Rattus norvegicus: one gene and its partner. Each later gene encodes a partner of the first gene's protein in a complex. Links are inferred from orthologs where the notes say so. Each region holds a gene or a part of one and is shown on either strand. Other genes may lie near its edges.

Evidence for each region.
Region 2: the proteins of Zc3hav1 (region 1) and Khnyn are in contact, whole or in part, in a crystal structure (PDB 9BGL), measured with the Homo sapiens proteins. The link is inferred for Rattus norvegicus from reciprocal best matches to the Homo sapiens genes ZC3HAV1 and KHNYN. Residues at the interface, in NP_064504.2 of Homo sapiens: Glu5, Val6, Cys8, Phe9, Lys12, Ile13, Ala16, His17, Glu29, Ile30, Ala31, Leu32, Leu113, Glu115, Phe118, Ser127, Gly128, Leu129, Asn130, Glu133; in NP_001277186.1 of Homo sapiens: His651, Lys652, Asp654, Phe655, Gln658, Arg659, Pro661, Tyr662, Asn677, Phe678.

The regions. Positions count from the first base shown.
Region 1 is NC_086022.1:67,985,139-67,994,561, reverse strand, and holds part of Zc3hav1 (zinc finger CCCH-type antiviral protein 1), read left to right. Parts: intron 1-1,595; coding exon 1,596-1,716; intron 1,717-4,741; coding exon 4,742-4,844; coding exon of another isoform or gene 4,845-4,848; exon of another isoform or gene 4,849-5,484; intron 5,485-8,471; coding exon 8,472-8,556; intron 8,557-9,225; coding exon 9,226-9,356; intron 9,357-9,423.
Region 2 is NC_086033.1:33,339,719-33,349,141, forward strand, and holds part of Khnyn (KH and NYN domain containing), read left to right. Parts: intron 1-4,284; coding exon of another isoform or gene 4,285-4,297; exon of another isoform or gene 4,298-5,077; intron 5,078-5,083; coding exon 5,084-5,191; exon of another isoform or gene 5,192-5,251; intron 5,252-5,379; coding exon 5,380-5,481; intron 5,482-5,902; coding exon 5,903-6,152; 3' UTR 6,153-8,650; coding exon of another isoform or gene 8,651-9,063; 3' UTR 9,064-9,311; coding exon of another isoform or gene 9,312-9,423. Other genes in the region: epimerase family protein SDR39U1, read right to left, coding at 8,651-9,063, 9,312-9,423.

The DNA of each region.
Region 1 (9,423 bases):
AAAGCCAGCCCAGTCCACATAGTGAGTTCCAGACCCCTGTGTCAAAAGCAGGGGGAGCAGTGTATGGCAGAACGCTTAATAAAATAATGAGCCAGGCAGTGCACTGGGGAGGCAGAGGCAGTAAGATCTCTGTGAGTTTGAGGCCAGCCTGGTCTACAGAGTGAGTTCTAAGATAGCCAAGGAGAGCTACACAAAGAAAGCCTGTCTTGAAAAGCCAAGGCAGGAGCTGGAGAGATGGCTCAGTGGTTAAGAGCAATGACTGCTTTTCCAGAGGTCCTGAGTTCAATTCCCAGCAACCACATGGTGGCTCACAGCCATCTGTAATGAGGTCTGATGCCCTCTTCTGGTGTGTCTGAGGACAGCTACAGTGTTCTCATATACATGAAATAAATAAATCTTAAAAAAAAAAAAAAAGGCAAGGCAGGTAGGCAGGTAGATAAAATGAAATATAGTTAGAAACTGTGATAAGAGACAAGATGGAAGGGGAAAGTGAAACATTTTATCAACAACATTCAAATGCAATGAGTTAGACTCCTATTTTTTAGGGTGATTTTTGTATTTGTGTTGGGTTGAATTCATAACCATCTTCAGCTGCACCACACCCTAGAGCCCTGCTAGTCAAAGTGAGGTTCACAACCTATCACCTAGGTGACGTTCAAATGCTGATCCAAGTCCTTCTCCTAACTCCTGAACAGTATTTAGTCAGTTCCCTGGTGTACTTCCCGTGCGTGAGATTTTCTTTAGAAAGTCAGTTTAAGGCACAAAGCCGAAGAGACAGTTGAAGGATACAAGGCTTCAAGCTATCAGGATAGGAAGTCTCTAGGCCTTACAAGGATTTGCCCCCTTTTGGCTGTTCTTTGAGTCAGAAAGGAGGTACATGGAGTACCAGATACCACCCAATCATGGCAGTGACCTGTTTCAACCCTCTCTGTGTTGGTGGCCACCGCATCAAGCATTTTCATGATTTGGCTTCATAATTGGATGTTGAAGCTTAGAAGTCTTCTGCCTTTTCTTCCGGCCTCATGTCCTGGCTGGCACATACCCAGACAGACTCACTCTGCATTATGTGTGAGTCTATGGGATGCATGCAGGCCCCTGGCCCTAAGATATTTTCCTCAGGTGCTTCTGTTCCAGGCCTCTCTCCCGGTGGGCACTTTCCTGAAGGAAAGGAAGGCCTAGCAAAAAGCTGAATGTCACTAAAGAAAGCATGAGCTCCTCCCCATGTAGGCAGTATTGCTATCTTCAGCCCCTCGGCTCTAGTTCTCAAGGAAGTGTTTGGCAACTGCTGTATCTCGAGCCCCTGAATGTAGGGTTTTACGTCCAGTCTGCACTTGCCTGTTTCCAGTTAAGGGTGTGTGCTAGGGCTGGGCCACACCACAACTAGAAACAGGTTTTGTTTTGTTTTGTTTTTTTTCTGTAAACAATGCGTCTTGGGGTTCCCAGTGTGATCAAATATCCTGCAGCAGGCCCTCGAAGCAAGTATAGCCAGCACTGTGAGCCTCCCTGATTGTGTCACTAAAGCAAAACTGTGAGATAGAAGGGTAGAGATTTCCCAAAAGTCTTTACCTATGTCTTCTTCATTTTTGTGTGAATAGAGCCCAGGCCACACCAGCTCTGACATCAACTCTGCGTACCTGGAGTCTTTCTTCCAGTCTTGTCCCAGGGGAGTTTTGCCATTCCAGGCTGGTTCACAGAAGTACGAGTTAAGCTTTCAAGGTGAGTTCTTGTCTTTGGTGGTGTGGTCTGTCCAATCTGGCACTGAGCACACAAGAGTAGATGGTGCATATCCGTGTCACGCCCAAGGCCCAGGGTCTTTTTTAGCTGGGGGAATAGTCTCTGCGAGTGGAGTGATAGCCGGTGGCCTGGGGCCCTGTTCCCAGCAGACTTTCTGTGCAGCCCCCAGAAGAGCCTCCAGACTCTCTGCCCACTTCTCTCCCAGTACTCAGAGGTTTGGACAGACATCTCTAGAGGGCTCTTCAGCTCCGTCAGATTATGTTTCTGATTCTGGGTGGGACCCTTCACTATTTAGTTTTGGATGACTATGGTGGAGAGCTTGGGCCTCTGGACAGCCTTAGACATCTAGAAACTTGCTCTTCATGCCTTGCCTCTGGATCATTTATCTCCTCCACTTGGGCACTTGGCCAGTCACCATGTGTAGTTGAACCTCTGTGGGAAGGCGTTCTGGGTAGCTGCCACCAGTCTGTTATGAAGTGAAAGAGAAATGAGCTCCAAGGCCAGCTTGACTGAAAGTCCTGTCCCCTTGGGATCATGCCTCAGAGACATGCCTGCAAGTAGCCAAACACTTGCCCTTTCAGGGCCAGTTTTGAAGAAGTGAGACTTTCTCAAGTCCTTAGCTTTCCCAGTTGTCTCTGAGGCTTGAGCCATTCATTATGTTGTAAACAACGTAACTTTCGGGATTATGTGACACCAAACGCTTTTGGAGATCGACCTGGCATTCCCACCAAGCCTTGTTGAAATATGCCCACTGCTTCCTCTCCTCTGTGTCCTCTAGACAGTGAGTAAAGAAGCTAGGGTATCAAATGTCAGTCGGTTGTTGGGGGTCAGTGTCCTAGCTTGTTTACTAGCTAGGACAGTGTCCTAGCTAGCATCTCTGTCGCTGTAATAGACACCATTACCAAAAACAACTGAGGGAGGAAAAGTTAGGACAGGCCAAGGCAGGAGTTTGAGAGACACCACAGAGGGCTGTTTCTTACTGTTCCCCTGGCTTACTTTACTTTACTATAAAGCAAAGTGCTCTAAAGGTACTTTACCACCTTACAGAGAACAGTTCAGTCTGCCTGGGCATGGCACCGCCCACAGTGGGCTGGGTCTCCCACCTAATCAGGAAGTGAGAAAAATGCCTCCCAAAACTAATTGGAGCTGGGTGATGGTAACCCATACCTTTAATCCCAGCACTCAGGAGGCAGAGGCAGCTGGATCTCTGTGCGTTCGAGGCTGGCCTGGTCTACAGAGCAATTTCCAGGACAACCAAGGCTACATAGAGAAACTCTATCTCAAAACTCCACCAAAACTACCACCACCAACAAAACAAAAACAGAAACAAACAAACAAACAAAAATAATAAAACCCTAGTGGAGACCCAGGGCATGTCTTTAATCTCTGCACTTGGGAGTCAGAGGCTAGAGAATCTCTGTGAGTTCCGGGGCTATTAGGAATGCATGGTGAGACCCAATCTGAACACAAAATACCCCCCCCCCACCCCCAGAGCAAAACAGACAAACTTGAATGAGTTATTACCAAGTGAAAACCATTGTACTTCAGATTTGTAAGCTACAGTGGGTGGTGTGGATCAAATGTGGGCCCATTAGGTGAGCAGCCTGTGCTCTTGTTGATTGAGCCATGTTTTTAACATCAGAGCCATGGGAAGACTTTGAGTATCATTGCAGCAATATCCAACTCACCCGTTTGATTTTATTTGTTCTGTTCTATCACCCTGACCGAGTCCTAATGTCTCAGTAAAATGAATCCATTTCACGTACGCAGCTGGCTGAGCATTGACATTACATATGACACATTTCCATCTGTCCAAAAGTTTGCCATGCCTCCTTTTGTCTTTCTTTTTTTTTGGTTCTTTTTTCTTTTTCCGGAGCTGGGGACCGAACCCAGGGCCTTGCCCTTCCTAGGCAAGCGCTCTGCCACTGAGCCAAATCCCCAATCCCTTGTCTTTCTTTCTTTTGTGGGTGTCGGGGGCTAGGGGTGTTGAGACAGGGTTTCTTTACATAGCTCTAGAACTTGTTTTGTAGACCAGACTCTACTCAACTCACAAAAATCTACCTGCCCCTAGTGCTGGGATTAAAGGCAAGCACACCACTGCCTAGCCCTGTTCTGACTTGTTTATAAGGCCCCACTCTACTAAATCTATTAAAAGATTCTCAAAGTATATATTCACACATAGCTGAGTTCTTTCATTCAAAATAGTGGGTTCTAGGGCTGGAGAGATGGCTCAGCGGTTAAGAGCACCCGACTGCTCTTCCAGAGGTCATGAGTTCAATTCCCAGCAACCACATGGTGGCTCACAACCATCTGTAAAGAGATCTGATGCCCTCTTCTGGTGTATCTGAAGACAGCTACAGTGTACTTATATATAATAAATAAATAAATCTTAAAAAAAAAAAAAGTGGGTTCTAGAATCATTTATGTTGTGGTATGTATAGTAGTTCTTCACTTTTATCTGCTGAATAATATTCCATTGTGAATACGTTTTATAGTTTATTATCCACCAGTTGCTTTCCAGTGTTTGGTCATAAGTAATGCAGCTCTTTTTGTGTGGATCCAGGTTTTCATTTATTTGGGTAGTGTTCCTAGATATGTTGGACTTTATGAAAAGCTCCAAAGAGAAATATTGTTTTATATTCTAGCCATGCATGGTCATTGAAAAAAGTCACTCTTGGAATTTTGAACCAGGTCTACAGTTGCTTTATCTAAAATTTCTCTTCTCTGTGCATGTAAGATTCATTCATGGTACACACCTTTAATCCCAGCAATCAAGAGGCAGAAGCAGGTGGATCTCAGTCAGTTTGAGGTTAGCCTGGTTTACAAAGTAAGTTCTGGGACAGCCAAGGCTAAACAGATAAACCCTGTCTTGAAAAGAAGAACAAAGACGAAATAAAGAAAAAGATTCAGTCATGAATGTTTGCTGTAGAAATGACCTCTGAGGGAAAAATGAGTCATTTTCTAGTATCAAGTCTTAATCTTTATTTTATTTCATTTTTGTCTAAAGGGATGATTCAGACAAATATAGCTTCCAAGACTCAAAGGCATGTTGTCAGAAGGCCAGTATTTGTTTCTTCGAACGATGTGGAGCAGAAGAGAAGAGCTCCAGAGTAAGTGTTCTGAAGCTGTTAGCTCTGGCCATGATCTTGCTGCGTCGTGCTGCATCATGCATCTGGATTCTGTGTTGTTGGGAAGTTCCTGCCTCTGTCTCACTGCAGTTTCTATTTGATTTACCTATGAGTAAGGAAGATTGTTAAGCAATGTGGCATAACTGAAAGTTTCCTGGACCAGGGGGCCAAGGGGTGCAGGCACTTGGTTAAGCTTTGTGTAATAGATATAAGGTTTGGATTTTGGGTATAGGGTGGGAAGGATACTATATCATTAAACCAGCATTTGCTTTTAACTTACAGGGTATTTTAGCAGCTCTCCATACTCTGGGTCACACTTGCTCCAGCTGTTACTGACTGGATCAAGGGGTGTGCCGGCAAATACACTGGGTTTTTGTTTTGCTGAGGGTCCTCTTTCTGTCTTTGGTTGTGCTGTGAGGGCAGGGGGCTGAGAAAAAGGCTTAAGCTAGCAGCCTGGTGAAGAGCTGGAGAAAGATCAAGTTGGCTAAAGGCATTGGTTTTAATTTTAATTGATTTCTAATCATTGTACCCATGGGGCATTTCAAGGTGGGTTTTGCTGTGGGGAATTCATTGTAACTTGCCTATCTGCTATGAAACTCAGTAAAGTCTCATTGTTCACAAACTTTGCAGTTGGATTTTTTCCCTCTGGGGGTGTGTGATATATGAGTCAGGTTTCAAGGCAGGTGTAAAAATCAAACTGTTCTAGATTCTTGTAGCTATGAGAGTCAAAGGTGGGTTACCACAAGGCGACATGGAAGTAACATCCAGAAAGTGCAGACAGGCAGAGAGTCATGTCCAGGAGGACGCTGCAGGATGGAGCAGCTTGGTCCAGGTTCTAGATTACCTAAGTTCACACCTGCCCTCTGTTCGTTAGCTTCAGGGATTTGGGTAGGGGAACCACGCTACCCCCTCTCATCTACATAACATGCTTAGCAGCTGCAGTGTGCTCACTGCTGAAATACACCTCAGACCCTGGGAACAAGGCTGGTGTGCCTCGTGCTCAGTAGTGACAGCCTCTTTGGTTTGTCTTCCTCCTGGTATTAGACTCTGTGACAACACATATGACATCTACTAAAATTGACAGTAATTCATTAACTATCATGTAATACCCAATTCACCCAATGTATTTTCCCATTCTCTTTGAAATTACCTTTTGTAGTTGATTTTATCCCTAAGCTGCTTTTAAACTATTTAAGTGTACCTGTCTCTATTTTTAAAAAATGTTGTGTGGGGGGCTGGAAAGATGGCTCAGTGGTTCAGAGTACTGCCTGGTCTTCCAGAGGACCTGAGTTCGGTTCTCATCACCCACGTAACAGCTCACAACTGTCTGTAACTACATCAATGCACATAAGATAGAAATAAGTAAATTATACAAAAATTATGTGCATGTGCATGCATGCTTATGATCTCACCAATTCTGGTGCATGTGGAGGGCAAAATTTGACATTGGTATGTTTTCCTCAATCTACCTCGAGACAGTTCCTAGCTGAACCTAGAGCTTGCACACAAGCCACCAAGTCCCTGGAACACTTGTTTCCAGTTTCCTGTGTGTACTGGTGTTGTGGGGGGGGGGTCTGCTATGCATAGCTTTTTTATGTGGATGCTGGGCATCTGAGATCAGATCCTCACTTTTCCCAGTTGTGAAAGTAATTTCTATTCACCTAACATCCATTCACCTAACATAACTGTCTTCTCAGAGGCTTACTGCTGAGAAAAGCTCACTCTTTCTAGTTCTTTCTGAACTCTGGCTGGCTGCTTCAACATAGCTGTTCTGGTTCATACTCTTCTCCAAGCTGACTGATTCAGTCTGGCTTCTCTCAACTTCTCACTGAATTGTTCTGCTTGGCCCAAACTAACTCTGGGAATTTGTTCTAATTTTCTGGCTTGTTCTTATTCTCTGGCTTCAGTTGCCTCTGCTGACCTGCATGTGAACTCACAAATGAACTTGGCTCCCTGCACTGACTTCCAACTGACTCACCAAACTCAATTTCACTCAAATGAACAGACAGACTCCCAACTCTCTATGCTGCTCTTTTTTTTTTTTTTAAGATTTATTCATTTATTCTATCTAAGTACACTGTAGCTGTCTTCAGATACACCAGAAGAGGGCATCGGATCTCTTTGCAGATGGTTGTGAGCCACCATGTGGGTGGTGGGAATTGAACTCATGACCTCTGGAAGAGCAGTCGGGTGCTCTTAACCGTTGAGCCATCTCTCCAGCCTTCTATGCTGCTCTTAAATGGCTTTTCTCCTGAGAGTTGGGCATATTTGGCTCATTCTATTAAATCCTTCTCTGGTTCATCACCTTGTCTGCTCCTTAGTTAGCTGTCATTGTTTGGGATTAAAGATGTGTACTAAAGGGTTCCACCCAGAAGGGTTAAAGGTGTGTGCTAAGCATCCCGACCAAAAAGTTTGCCTGCATTCATTCCAGCAGGTTCACCCAGACCTACAATGTCTTTGGATGTGATCAGAGCAGCCATATTGCTAGATTAAAATTCCTCTACACCCAATGAACCATCTCCTCAGTCCATTCCCTACATTTTCTTTTCTTTTCTCCCCTCCCCCTCTCATTTGTTTGTATCTGAGATAGGGTCTTTCTGTGTAGTCCTACCTGGCCTCAATCAAATTCAATACGTAGACCAGGCTGTCTTCGAACTCACAATGGTTCTGCCTCCTGAGTGCTAGGATTAAAGGTATGCGCCTCACATCTGACTACCCTCTATTTTTAAAAATGCGATTAAAAAAAAAACGGGGTAAGAAAAAAGAAATAGGTAGTTTGATCGATCAAAATATACTCCATCATATTCCAATGAGGCCATTTTATGGGTGGCTTCTATAGGCTGGTTACTAGATTTTGAGGACTTGTCAGTTCTGGGCTGGGTTTTTGTCAGGATGCTTTGCTCTGATTGTTCTGTTTACTGACACTAAGGGATGGCTGAGGTTACTTCAGTCTTCCAGTTGCTCTCTCACACTGAAATACAGTTCCTACAAAAAGGCAAGGTCCCTTCCTCTGTCCTATACTTAACCTGTCTACCATTTGACAAAGAAGTTACAAGACACACAAGCTCACACTGACACACCTGTACCTTTGAAGGTTGAGCAGATACATCAAAAAAAGAATTGGTGCCTTTACATGGTAGTTTTATGTATATCCACTCATTCATTCATTTACTCAGTGTGTGTGTGTGTGTGTGTGTGTGTGTGTGTGTGTGTGTGTGTGTGTGTGTGTTTAGGTGTGTGCATGCACTGCCCCACACACATATACACACAGGAAGAAGTCAATAACAAAATCTAAAGAGTCAGTTCTTTCCTTCAACCTGAAAGGATCTAGCAATAAGACCCATCATCAGGCAAGAACTGGTACCTACTGCTGTCTCACCTGCCCGTGCTTTATAGTTTAAAGTATTGGGAAAGGGAGCGTTTACATTCATTCCTAAATGATCGAACCTCTTTGTAAAAACCTGTGGTTACTGGAATCAGGATTTTTCAGGAGTGGTTCAGAGTAAATATAGAAGTCAATACTACATTACCCAGAAAGACTTTCTGGCTGTGTGTTGAGGGTAGAAAGAAAGGGACCCAAGTAAAATTTCCTTCTGTCTTTATTTGTAGTCATCAGCCAGTGACGCCCAAGGCAGATGCTCTGAATTCTATTCCCCAGAAGAATGCTAGCACTGTTTTGCCCAACGAATATGAGGTAACTGGCTTTGCTTGTCTGGTGGGTGAATCCTGTAAAGGTGGGAAGATGCTTTACAGGAAGCATATGGGTTTGTTAACGGAATGAGTGAACTGCTTCTTCCAAACTTAGCTCCAGAGTCAAAGGCAAGGCGCCTGGGTGTGATGGTGATGCATTCCCAGAGAACAACTGTTTTCTAGGGCATTTCTGTGTTCCTAGTGATGCAACGTCATTCAGGCAGACTCTCACAGCCACCCTGTGAGATCATAGCTGATAAAGAAAGCAGGATTCCGAGAGCAACAGTAGCCAACTTCAAGTGTCCTACTTTGCCACTAGCCCGGCTGAGACAAGACTGTTCCTTAGTCTGGCTTAGCCTCCAGCTCTTGTGAAGGCCAATCTTGTGTTCCATAGGTATCTCTGATCTCTCTGTCACTGGTGGGTTTTGGAATTTGGGCAGTTACCTTCCTGGGTCTCAGGACTAAGTCATATACGGCATAAGTTATCCTGAACAGACCGGCACATGCCTGTTGGATCATTACCAGAATGAACATGAGGCCAGATATGGACATGCTAAGCCAGCCCTTCCCACCTGAGAACAGCCATGGTGGTCCTGGTGTGGGTGGGCACATGTGATGATCAGCATGCTTCTAATGTTTTCTAGTTAACATTTAAACATCTTTTTTTTTTAAGTTTCTAGAACTCAATGACCAGGATGTGGAGTATGTCACAGTAAGCGAACAGTTTAAAGCATCCATGAAACCTTTCAAGATTGTGAGAATAAAGCGGATATGGAACCAAAAACTCTGGGACGCTTTTGAAAGGTGACATAATCAGACCTTGTTTGGGGTCATGTTATTTAAATAGATGGGGGGGGGGGCTGGGGATTTA
Region 2 (9,423 bases), on another chromosome or scaffold:
GGGGCCGGAGGAATGGAATGGCTAAGGGGTAAAAGTGCTTGCTGCTCTTTCAGGGGACCGAGCGGCTTGTTTCCCAGCACTCACACCGTGCAGCTCACACAGCTAAATGGACTTTGTGAGCCCGCAGTGTGTATGTGCAGACACATACAACCGGACTTGGATCGCTGGGCCCAAATGGTAAAAGGAGTGGACTGACCTCTGCAAGTTGTTCTCTGATCTTCACATTCTCATTGTGTCACGTGTGTATGCACACACACACACACACACACACACACACACACGCACACACACACACACACACACACACTGTGCACACACACACACACACACCACACAAATTTAAAAAGCAACTTTAAGGGTCGGAGAGCTAGCTCAGTGGTTAAGAGCACTGACAGCTCTTCCAGAGGTCCTGAGTTCAATTCCCAGCAACCACATGGTGGCTCACAGCTATCTGTAATGGGATCTGATGCCCTCCTCTGGTGTGTCTGAAGATAGCTACGGTATAATGCATAAAATGAATGACTCTTAAAAAGCAAAAAGCAACCTTAAGGAGGATAATTTCAGCTCTCAGCTTCAGCTTTTGTCAGTTTCAGGTTCTGTCCATCATAGGTGGGAAGTCACTGTAACAGGAACTTAAGGGTCACATCACATCCATGGTCAGGAAGAGAGAGCAATGAATGCATACATGATAGTGCTCAGCTTGCTTCCTCATAGGATCCAGAATCTGCTGCCTAGGGAATGGTGTCACTCACAGTGGATTGATCTTTCCACTCTAATTAGCGACCTTCTTACAGACCACCTGATCTAGACGGTCCCTCTCTGTGAATGCTTCTCAGGTGATTCCAGGTTGTGTTAAGTTGACAGTTAAATCTAAGCAGCAGAATGATTGTATGTTTTAGCTTTCCAGATGTTTAGCTTTTACCACTTAGAAGTAAACAGTATTGTACAACAGGTACTTCACTTTCTTTGTGTCCCAGTTAGGTTTCTATGCTGTGATACATGCCATGATCCTAGGAAGCTTGGGGAGGAAGGGTTTTATTTCATCTTAAACTTTCAGGCAATTGTCACCCTGATTGGCGTTCAGGGCGGGGACCCGGAGGCAGGGATTGGTACAGAGACTGCAGGGGATGCTACTTACTGGCTTGCTCAGCTGATTTCCTTTTCTTTTCTTTTCTTTTTTTTTTGGTTCTTTTTTTCGGAGCTGGGGACCGAACCCAGGGCCTTGCGCTTCCTAGGTAAGCGCTCTACCACTGAGCTAAATCCCCAGCCTTATTTATTTTTATATGAGTACACTGTAGCTGTCTTCAGACACACCAGAAGAGGGCATCAGATCCCATTACAGATGGTTGTGAGCCACCATGCGTTGCTGGGAATTGAACTCAGGATCTCTGGAAGAGCAGTCAGTGCTCTTAACTGCTGAGCCACCTCTCCAGCTCGTCAGCTGGCTTTTTTTATATCACCCAGGGACACCTGCCTAGATGGGCACTGCCCACCATGGGCTGGTCCTTCTTTTATCAATTAGCAATCAAGAAAATGTCCCATAAACTTGCCTACAGGCAATCTGATGAATCATTTTTCTCAACTGAGGGTCCTCCTTCTAAATAATTATATTGTGTCAAGTTAGAAAAAAAAACGCAAAACAAAAAACCCCCAAACCCAACCAGGACACTCCCGCTGGGCCTGGTGTTTTTTGGACAGGATCTCATTGTGAAGCCCTCGGCTGGACTGGTGCTTCATCTGTGTAGCCCAGGTTGGCTTTGAGCTTGTGGTAATCCTCCTGCTTCTGCCTCCTGAGCGCTGCTATTTTGTTCTGGGTCTAGGTTTCTGTTTACCTAAGACAGTCAGCTGTTGTCCACATCAGCTTTGTAACAGAATTGACACTGGAGGCTGAGTCAGTTTTAATGCTCAGTTACGTAGAACCTGGGGGGTACATGATGTAAACTTGGGAAATCGGTGCAGCGAAGCACAACAGGGCCTAGGGAATGAGTGCCGCAGAGCAGGATGCATCTTCACACGAAAGCAGTGAACTGCTTAACTAGAAAGGGCCTCTTGTTTATGTCACAGAGCATGGCATCCCTTAGCTTGCTTCCCAAACGCCTGTCCTACCTGTTCCTGTTCCTGGTCTTCTCTGTACCACAGTGCTTTTCAGGTACTGACCACCCACTTCTAACTTGGAGACTTGGAGAAAGAACTCTGGGGCTGGAGTTGGTCCAGGATCCTCTGTAAATCAAGCACTTCAGGACCTGGGGGTAGGGAGCCCTATTGTGACTGTGTTTTACAGGAAGGAAGGGTTGCTCATTGAGAAGGATGTGGGCTGGATCACTTTGGTTTTAAAAGTCTAAAGTCTACCCACCACCTTGTGAATGTTATTGTGGATGCAGAGTTACTAAAACGGGACCTGGGTATGGTGGCAAATATCTTTAATGCCAGCACTTGGGAGGTAGAGGCAGAGGCAGGAAGATGAGGAATTTGAGGTTAGCTTCAGCCATTCAGTGAGTTGGAGGCAAGCCTGGGCTATGTAACCTCCTGTCTCAAAATAAAACAAAATAGAACAAGAGGATTACTAAAGTGGGCTTCAGGTGTCTTTATTAAAATTTTGGGTTTGGAGAGATGGCTCAGTGGTTAGGTGCACTGGCTGATCTTTTAGAGGTTCTGAGTTCGGGCTGGAGAGATGGCTCAGCGGTTAAGAGCACCCGACTACTCTTCCAGAGGTCCTGAGTTCAATTCCCAGCAACCACATGGTGGCTCACAACCATCTGTAAAGAGACCCGATGCCCTCTTCTGGTGTGTCTGAAGTCAGCTATAGTGTACTTATATATAATAAATGAATAAAATCTTAAAAAAAAAATTTAGAGGTTCTGAGTTCAATTCCCAGCAGTCACATAGCAGTTCACAATCTTATGCCCTCTTCTGGTCTGTGGGCACACATGCAGACAGACAAAGCACCTGAAAAAACCAACCTCCCCCCAAAAAACCCAAAACAACAACAACAAAATCATCAAAAAAATCAAAAGAAACTCTTAGAAACCATAACAAAAAATTTTGAAGTTTTATTTTTCTATTTATTTTTTGAGATAAGGTCTCCCAAATGTAGGCTGGCTTCAGGCTCAGTGAGTAACTGGGGATGACCTTGAACTCATTCCCTTGTCTTCACCTTCTGAATGTGGCAGTTGCTGGTGTATGTTACCAGGCCCTGTTCATGTGGTGCTGGAGACAGAACCGAGGGCCTCATGCATGCCAGCTGGGCACTCCACCAAGCAAGCCTTAGTGCCGGAAAGCAAGCTCCTTGGGTGCCTTTCACTAAGGGCTTAGGATGCATTCGGAGACGGAGGGAATAGTTTGAGAAACTGAAGTCAGAGAGCAGAGCATGTGTTAAGAGTATAATCTGGGGGCTGGGGATTTAGCTCAGTGGTAGAGCGCTTACCTAGGAAGCGCAAGGCCCTGGGTTCGGTCCCCAGCTCCGAAAAAAAGAACCAAAAAAAAAAAAAAAAGAGTATAATCTGATCATTCACCTTAGCTAGAGTTGAGGGCACTTGAGGGAATCCAGAGAGAGAGAGAGAGAGAGAGAGAGAGAGAGAGAGAGAGAGAGTGTGTGTGTGTGTGTGTGTGTGTGTGTGTGTGAGGGGGTAGAGTTGGGGGCGAACTGGAAGGGTGACGTGGCGCCCCTTAGCTGCCAGGCCTGGACCTGCGGCCTTTAGTCAAGGTTTTTCACTTGGGCTGGGTTGGCTGAAGGGTGGGTGTGGGAGAGCTGTGAAGGGGAGAGCAGGCGAGACTGGCAGACTGTGGGTAGTTAGGTAAGGTAGATGAATTAATTGGTTGAAGGCTGGGCAGTAGTCTTAGTTTTAATGTCTGACTTATTAAAGTGATTGTGGCCCTCGGAAAGAAGGCAGTGTGGAAGTTCTGCAGTGGAAGGCTTTTCAGAGATAAATGCAGGTTTGTGAGTAACGTGGGAGAGAGAGCTAGATTGTACTGGTTCTTAGTGTCCAGTGAAGGCCGTGGTGAATGGTGCTGTTGGGAGACACCTTAACTGCCTTGGGTTCTTCACTGTTTCTCCTCTAACCTTGGGTCTCTGTCTAGTTAGTCACGGGTAGCTGGATGATGCTGAGAGAGAAGCTGACTATGGAGGCACAGGCTGTGTGTGATCTTAGCTACTTGGGGGGCCGAGGTAGGAATGATTGAGAGTTCAAAGCCTGCTAGGGCTACAGAGCAAATTCAAGGCTAGACTGAGTAACTTAGTAAAATCCTGTCTCTGATTTTTTTTTTTTTTGTTTGTCTTTGAGACAGGTTCTCTATGTAGCCCTGGCTGTCCTGGAACTATGTAGGCCAGGCTGGCTTAGAACTCACAGAGATTCACCTACCTCTGCCTCCTGGGTGCTGGGATTAAAGGTGTGCACCATCATATCCTGCCTGTCTCCCTGCTCTGCCCAAACCTGATGATCTCTATCTCTTATCTCTGTCTGTCTGTCTATCATCTATGTATCTATCTATCTTACCTGTCTGTCTGCCTATCATCTGTCTGTCTATCTGTCTGTCCATCTATCCATTTATCTCTAACCTGTATCTATGTATCTATTATCTGTCATCTGTCTGTCTGTCTATATGTACATATGTATCATTCATCTGTTTATCTGTTGGTCATCTACTTTTTTTTTGGTTCTTTTTTTCGGAGCTGGGGACCGAACCCAGGGCCTTGCGCTTCCTAGGCAAGCGCTCTACCACTGAGCTAAATCCCCAGCCCCTGTTGGTCATCTACTTATCTATCTTTTCTATGTATCTATCATCTATATCATCTATGTATCTATCTACCTATCGTCTATCTATATCTATTTATGTATCTGTTCACCATCTATCTGTCTATCACCTACCTATCTACTTGCCTACCTACTATCTCAGTGGTAAAGCACTTGCCTAGGATGCATGAGACTCTGGGCTCAATTCCCAAGAAGCCTTCCTCACCCTTCTGCAGTTGAGTGAATGAGTTGGGAGACTATTTCCATCACCAGAAGTGGGTCACAGGCACTGTTAGCTTACTGTGGGGTCTGTCCTTGGAGAACCCCAGAACAGTGTCTGTGTTTTGAGACAGGTTCATGGTGAAGCTGGCTGAAGAGACTGATGGGATCATTGTCTCCAATGACCAGTTCCGGGATCTGGCTGAGGAGTCTGACAAGTGGATGGCGATCATCAGAGAGCGGTGAGAGAATAGGGCACCAGCTCAGACCTTTCTCTAAACCAGCTCTTCTCTGGCCACTGGGTGAGAATCTTGGGAAAGGGCTTGAAGATACCTCAAAGGATGATAGCCAGTAGCTCCTGGTGGTGTTGATCTCAGACGCCTGGGAGGGAGGCGAGGTCATCTCTGTGACTTCCTCTTTCCTCCTGTAGCCTTCTGCCCTTCACCTTTGTGGGGAACCTCTTCATGGTCCCAGATGATCCACTGGGGCGAAATGGCCCCACCCTGGATGAGTTTCTGAAGAAGCCGGTCAGGTAACGCCCCTACTTCTGCAGGCAGTCTGTAGATCTGCTGCTCTTTGAAGGATTGGGGGCATGGATGGAGTGTCACAGTTTGGGTCTATCCTTTAAAATCTCCCCAGGGAGTCCTGACGGGCCTTTGTACTGGGCAGAAGAATTTTTATTTCATTTCTCTTCTGCTCAGTGTGTTTGATGGAGCCAACTGGGGGTGGTTGATGTAGTGATAGCTGGTCGTACCCCATGCCCTCCCTTGGCTCATTAATAAGTGATTAAATAAGGACATCTCATTAGGGTTCTGTCTTCCTATGGGGTCAATACTGCCTCTCAGTGGCCTGCTTAGGAAACCTCGTAAGTTCATCTACAGCTAGAAAGAGGTGCCTGGAGGCTCAGTTTTTCCTCCAGAGTGCTTATCAGTCTTATTCTGCCTTTTTTCCAGGAAGCAGGGCTCCTCTAAGTCTCAGCAGCCCTCCAAAGGTCCCACAGAACATGGTCATCAGCAGCAGGGGAAGGAAGTGGAGAAGGGCAGTGGTGGCATTCGGAAGACCCGGGAGACAGAGCGGCTCCGGCGCCAGCTGCTTGAAGTGTTTTGGGGTCAGGACCACAAGGTGGACTTCATCCTGCAGCGGGAACCATACTGCCGGGATATTAATCAACTTTCTGAGGCCCTGCTGAGTCTCAACTTCTGAGCCTTTCTGCCCTGCATAGCTGCTACCCTACTAGAATCAGCCTCCCCCAGCCCAGCCTCCTCACTTATGGTCCCTCTGCTGTTCAGACTATGACCTAGACTCATTCTAAAATGGCGTTTCAGCCAGACAAAGTACCAGAGAAGAGAATTTGAGTGTGGGAATACTCTTGCCTGAGGTACTTTAAGGACAGATCCTTAAAGTGACTCAACGTGAGGGAGGAGTGCAGCCAGCATTCCTTCAGACACACGAGGGTACAACTCGTACCCTCGTGAGGTTTTGATCAGACTCCACTCCTCAACTTTGTCTTAACAGAGGGTTTCTGTAGGGTGCAGAGGCTGTTCCTGGAGATGGAGACTGTGGCTTCATTACCAAGTTACTTGGTTGGAGGCTAGGGTAGCCTGGAGGGGACACAAAGGGTAAGCCGAGAAAGAAAGCGCCCTCTGGCTGCCCCTCTGAGTGGCTAGGATAGGCTGAGCTGTACCCTCGTGTGTCTGAAGGAATGCTGGCTCCTGGAGGGGTCACAGCGCTATGTGCACTGTTGTAGTGGGACAGCTGAGAGGCAGAAGGTAGAGGCGGGCAGGCTTCCAGTCTCAGTTGTGCCTTGGTTGTGACCTTGACGGAGTTGCTTGGCCTTTACTTCGGGCATAAAAATAACTTTGAGGGAAACGAGAACAGAGAAGGCGGCTCCCGTGAGGAACTGTGTACATGGATCATGGCTCAGGTGTGGCTGCCTGTGGCTGCACAGGCTCCCTAACCAAAACTTCACTTTCAGAGGTGTCCACTGTCTATACCCTCGATTTTCACGCTGGGTTTTCCGTAGAACATGCCCTGTAATGGCTGCATTCCTTTCCAGCAACCTTCAAAACGCGTTAACAGAATAGTCAAGGTAGGGTTGACGGATGCGTTACTTCAGTACTCTCAGGGCTCCTCTAAATGGCAGCTGGTCAAGTGTTTCAAGTGTTTACAGATCGACGAGGCCCCGGTTAAATCCTCTTTCTGGTGTTGGGCCTAGTCACCAAACCCATGACGTCATGATTCGCAGTGCTTAATGAGACCTATCTAATATTTTCTTTATGAAAGACAGGATTCATTCGGCAAAGACACACTGCTGCATATCGGGTGTCTGGGAAGTGGAGCTGAAGCCTCAGGATTGAAAGATACCTGATTGGTTACAGACCAACTCCACTGACCTATCGTGACACCCTGTTTACATTCGAATTCCCACACGTCATTGTTTTCTCTCTGAACTCTTTCTGTGCCAGGGAATTTACTATCAACAAGGTGGCACATTCCTTATGTGGACCTGTTAATCAGTTTTTCTCTAGTGTAGTCTAACATGCTTTTCTGTTTTACTTTTATCTTCCCCAGGAATAATTCAGAGCTGGTTAACTTTTTAGAGGCTAGGGTCAGATAGAGGTATAAAAAGGTGAGGCAGGTGCCCCTGGGTTCATGTAGTAAGTCCCCCAATTAATTAGATGGTTTCCTGACTCTGACTTACTCCAGGAGACACAGAGAGTTGACTGTGTGGCCCTTTGGGTCCCAGTGTCCTTGTTTTGTTGGGCAATTTTCAGTTCACGCAAGGTGAGGTGTTGGAGACAAGTTGATCAGGGAAATGACAAGGGAAGAGAAGAGAGTGGTCTGGACTGGGCACTGGTAGAACTGCTCTTTAAGTTTGTGATTGGTGTCTTGCTCTTTTTGCCTGCCATGATGGTGGGTGTACAGGGGGCTGGGATTATCTTCCCTTTTATGCTATGGGGCCTGGAAGGCTGAATGTTCCCAAGAAGATGAGAGACGAAGCCTAGGTTTATAGAGGGACAGCGACTCTGTCTTACTGCAGTATGACAAGCTGGAACCTGGATGTGTTTATTAATTCATGGCCGTTTGGTGAATGCTGAAGGCTAACTAACCTACAGGGCCTTTCCTCTCCACTTTGGCTGGCATCCTCTGAACAGGTGGTCAGGTGACGCCAGAACTCACTGGAAATAGATTTTTATATATATTATCTTTAATCTCTGTTATAACCTCATGTCTCCCCAGTTCGTTTGGGAAGAGAGACCATGAAAGGAAAGGATGAGGAGAGAGGTAAAATGTTCAGGACCCCGTTTAGGGAGAAGAGCCAGGTAGAGGAATAGTTCTAAAGATAATTCCAGGGGAGTACAAACCAAAGAGACAGCTGAAGCCAGTGGTCTACAGACACAGTCTACCTTTATTGCCACAACTGTAGAACTTTGTCTACATAGCATGTAGGAGAACCAGGGCAACAATGTGACACAGAAGCCACAAGAAGTTGAGGAGGTTAAGGTTAGAATGAGATTAGATCCTTGAGACTGGAGTTTCTTGGAGAGAGGTGGATCAACAGAACATGGGAAGAAAGGGGAGAGAGAGAGAGTCTAAGAGCCAGATGGCTTCTGATCTCAGTCAAGTACAGCAATCACCTGACTCACTTCTCAGAATGCAGGAACAGGCCCCACCTCCTGCCTTGGGGCTCCCTTCTCTACTTAGGTTACAACATCCTTTAAGGCAGCTCCTAACTCTGGGAAGGAATACTGGTAGCCCGTGGCCAGTGTCCTCCGGGGGACCACTTTCTGGCCTTCCAACAGCATGATGGCACGCTCTCGTCCAAAGATTGCTTGTACCACAGCGCTGGGGACAGGTATGAAGGCTGGGCGGCCCAGGGCAGCACCCAAGGCCTGGGCAAAATCGGCATTGGTAGTTGTAGATGCTGGAGCTACTCCATTCAGGACTCCTTGGACGTGGTTTGCCTCAAGGGCATGATTCAGAATTCCTGCCAGGTCACTAATGTGTATCCAGGGGAAGAACTGGTGACCTGAACCAATGGGGCCTCCTAGGCCCAGGCGGAAGGGCAGAAGCATGTGGCCGATGGCACCGCCCCTGCGGCCCAGCACAACCCCTAAAGCAGACAGAAGGGTGGTAAAGGAAGGTTGTTTAGTCCTTGGAGAGCTGCACTATAATTTCTCTTCTCCCTTCCTCACAGCCTTCCCATGTGCACTTGGGAGTGGGCAGAGTTGAGGGCTGTGGATCTTCCTGGGGCTTTCCCTTTGTGTTAGCTAAAGTGATGGTGTCCTCTCACTGCAAACTCACCCCTCCTCAGCCCAGAAATCTTCTACTTTGCTTGGTTCCCAGGCCCTTGGTCCTCACCTGAACGTACCACGACCTGGCGTGTAGACTCTCCAGGAAGCCTGGCTGCTGCTTCCCATTTGGTTACCAGGTTGGAGAAAAAGTCAAAATCCCCTCCTGGGCTGTCTTCATC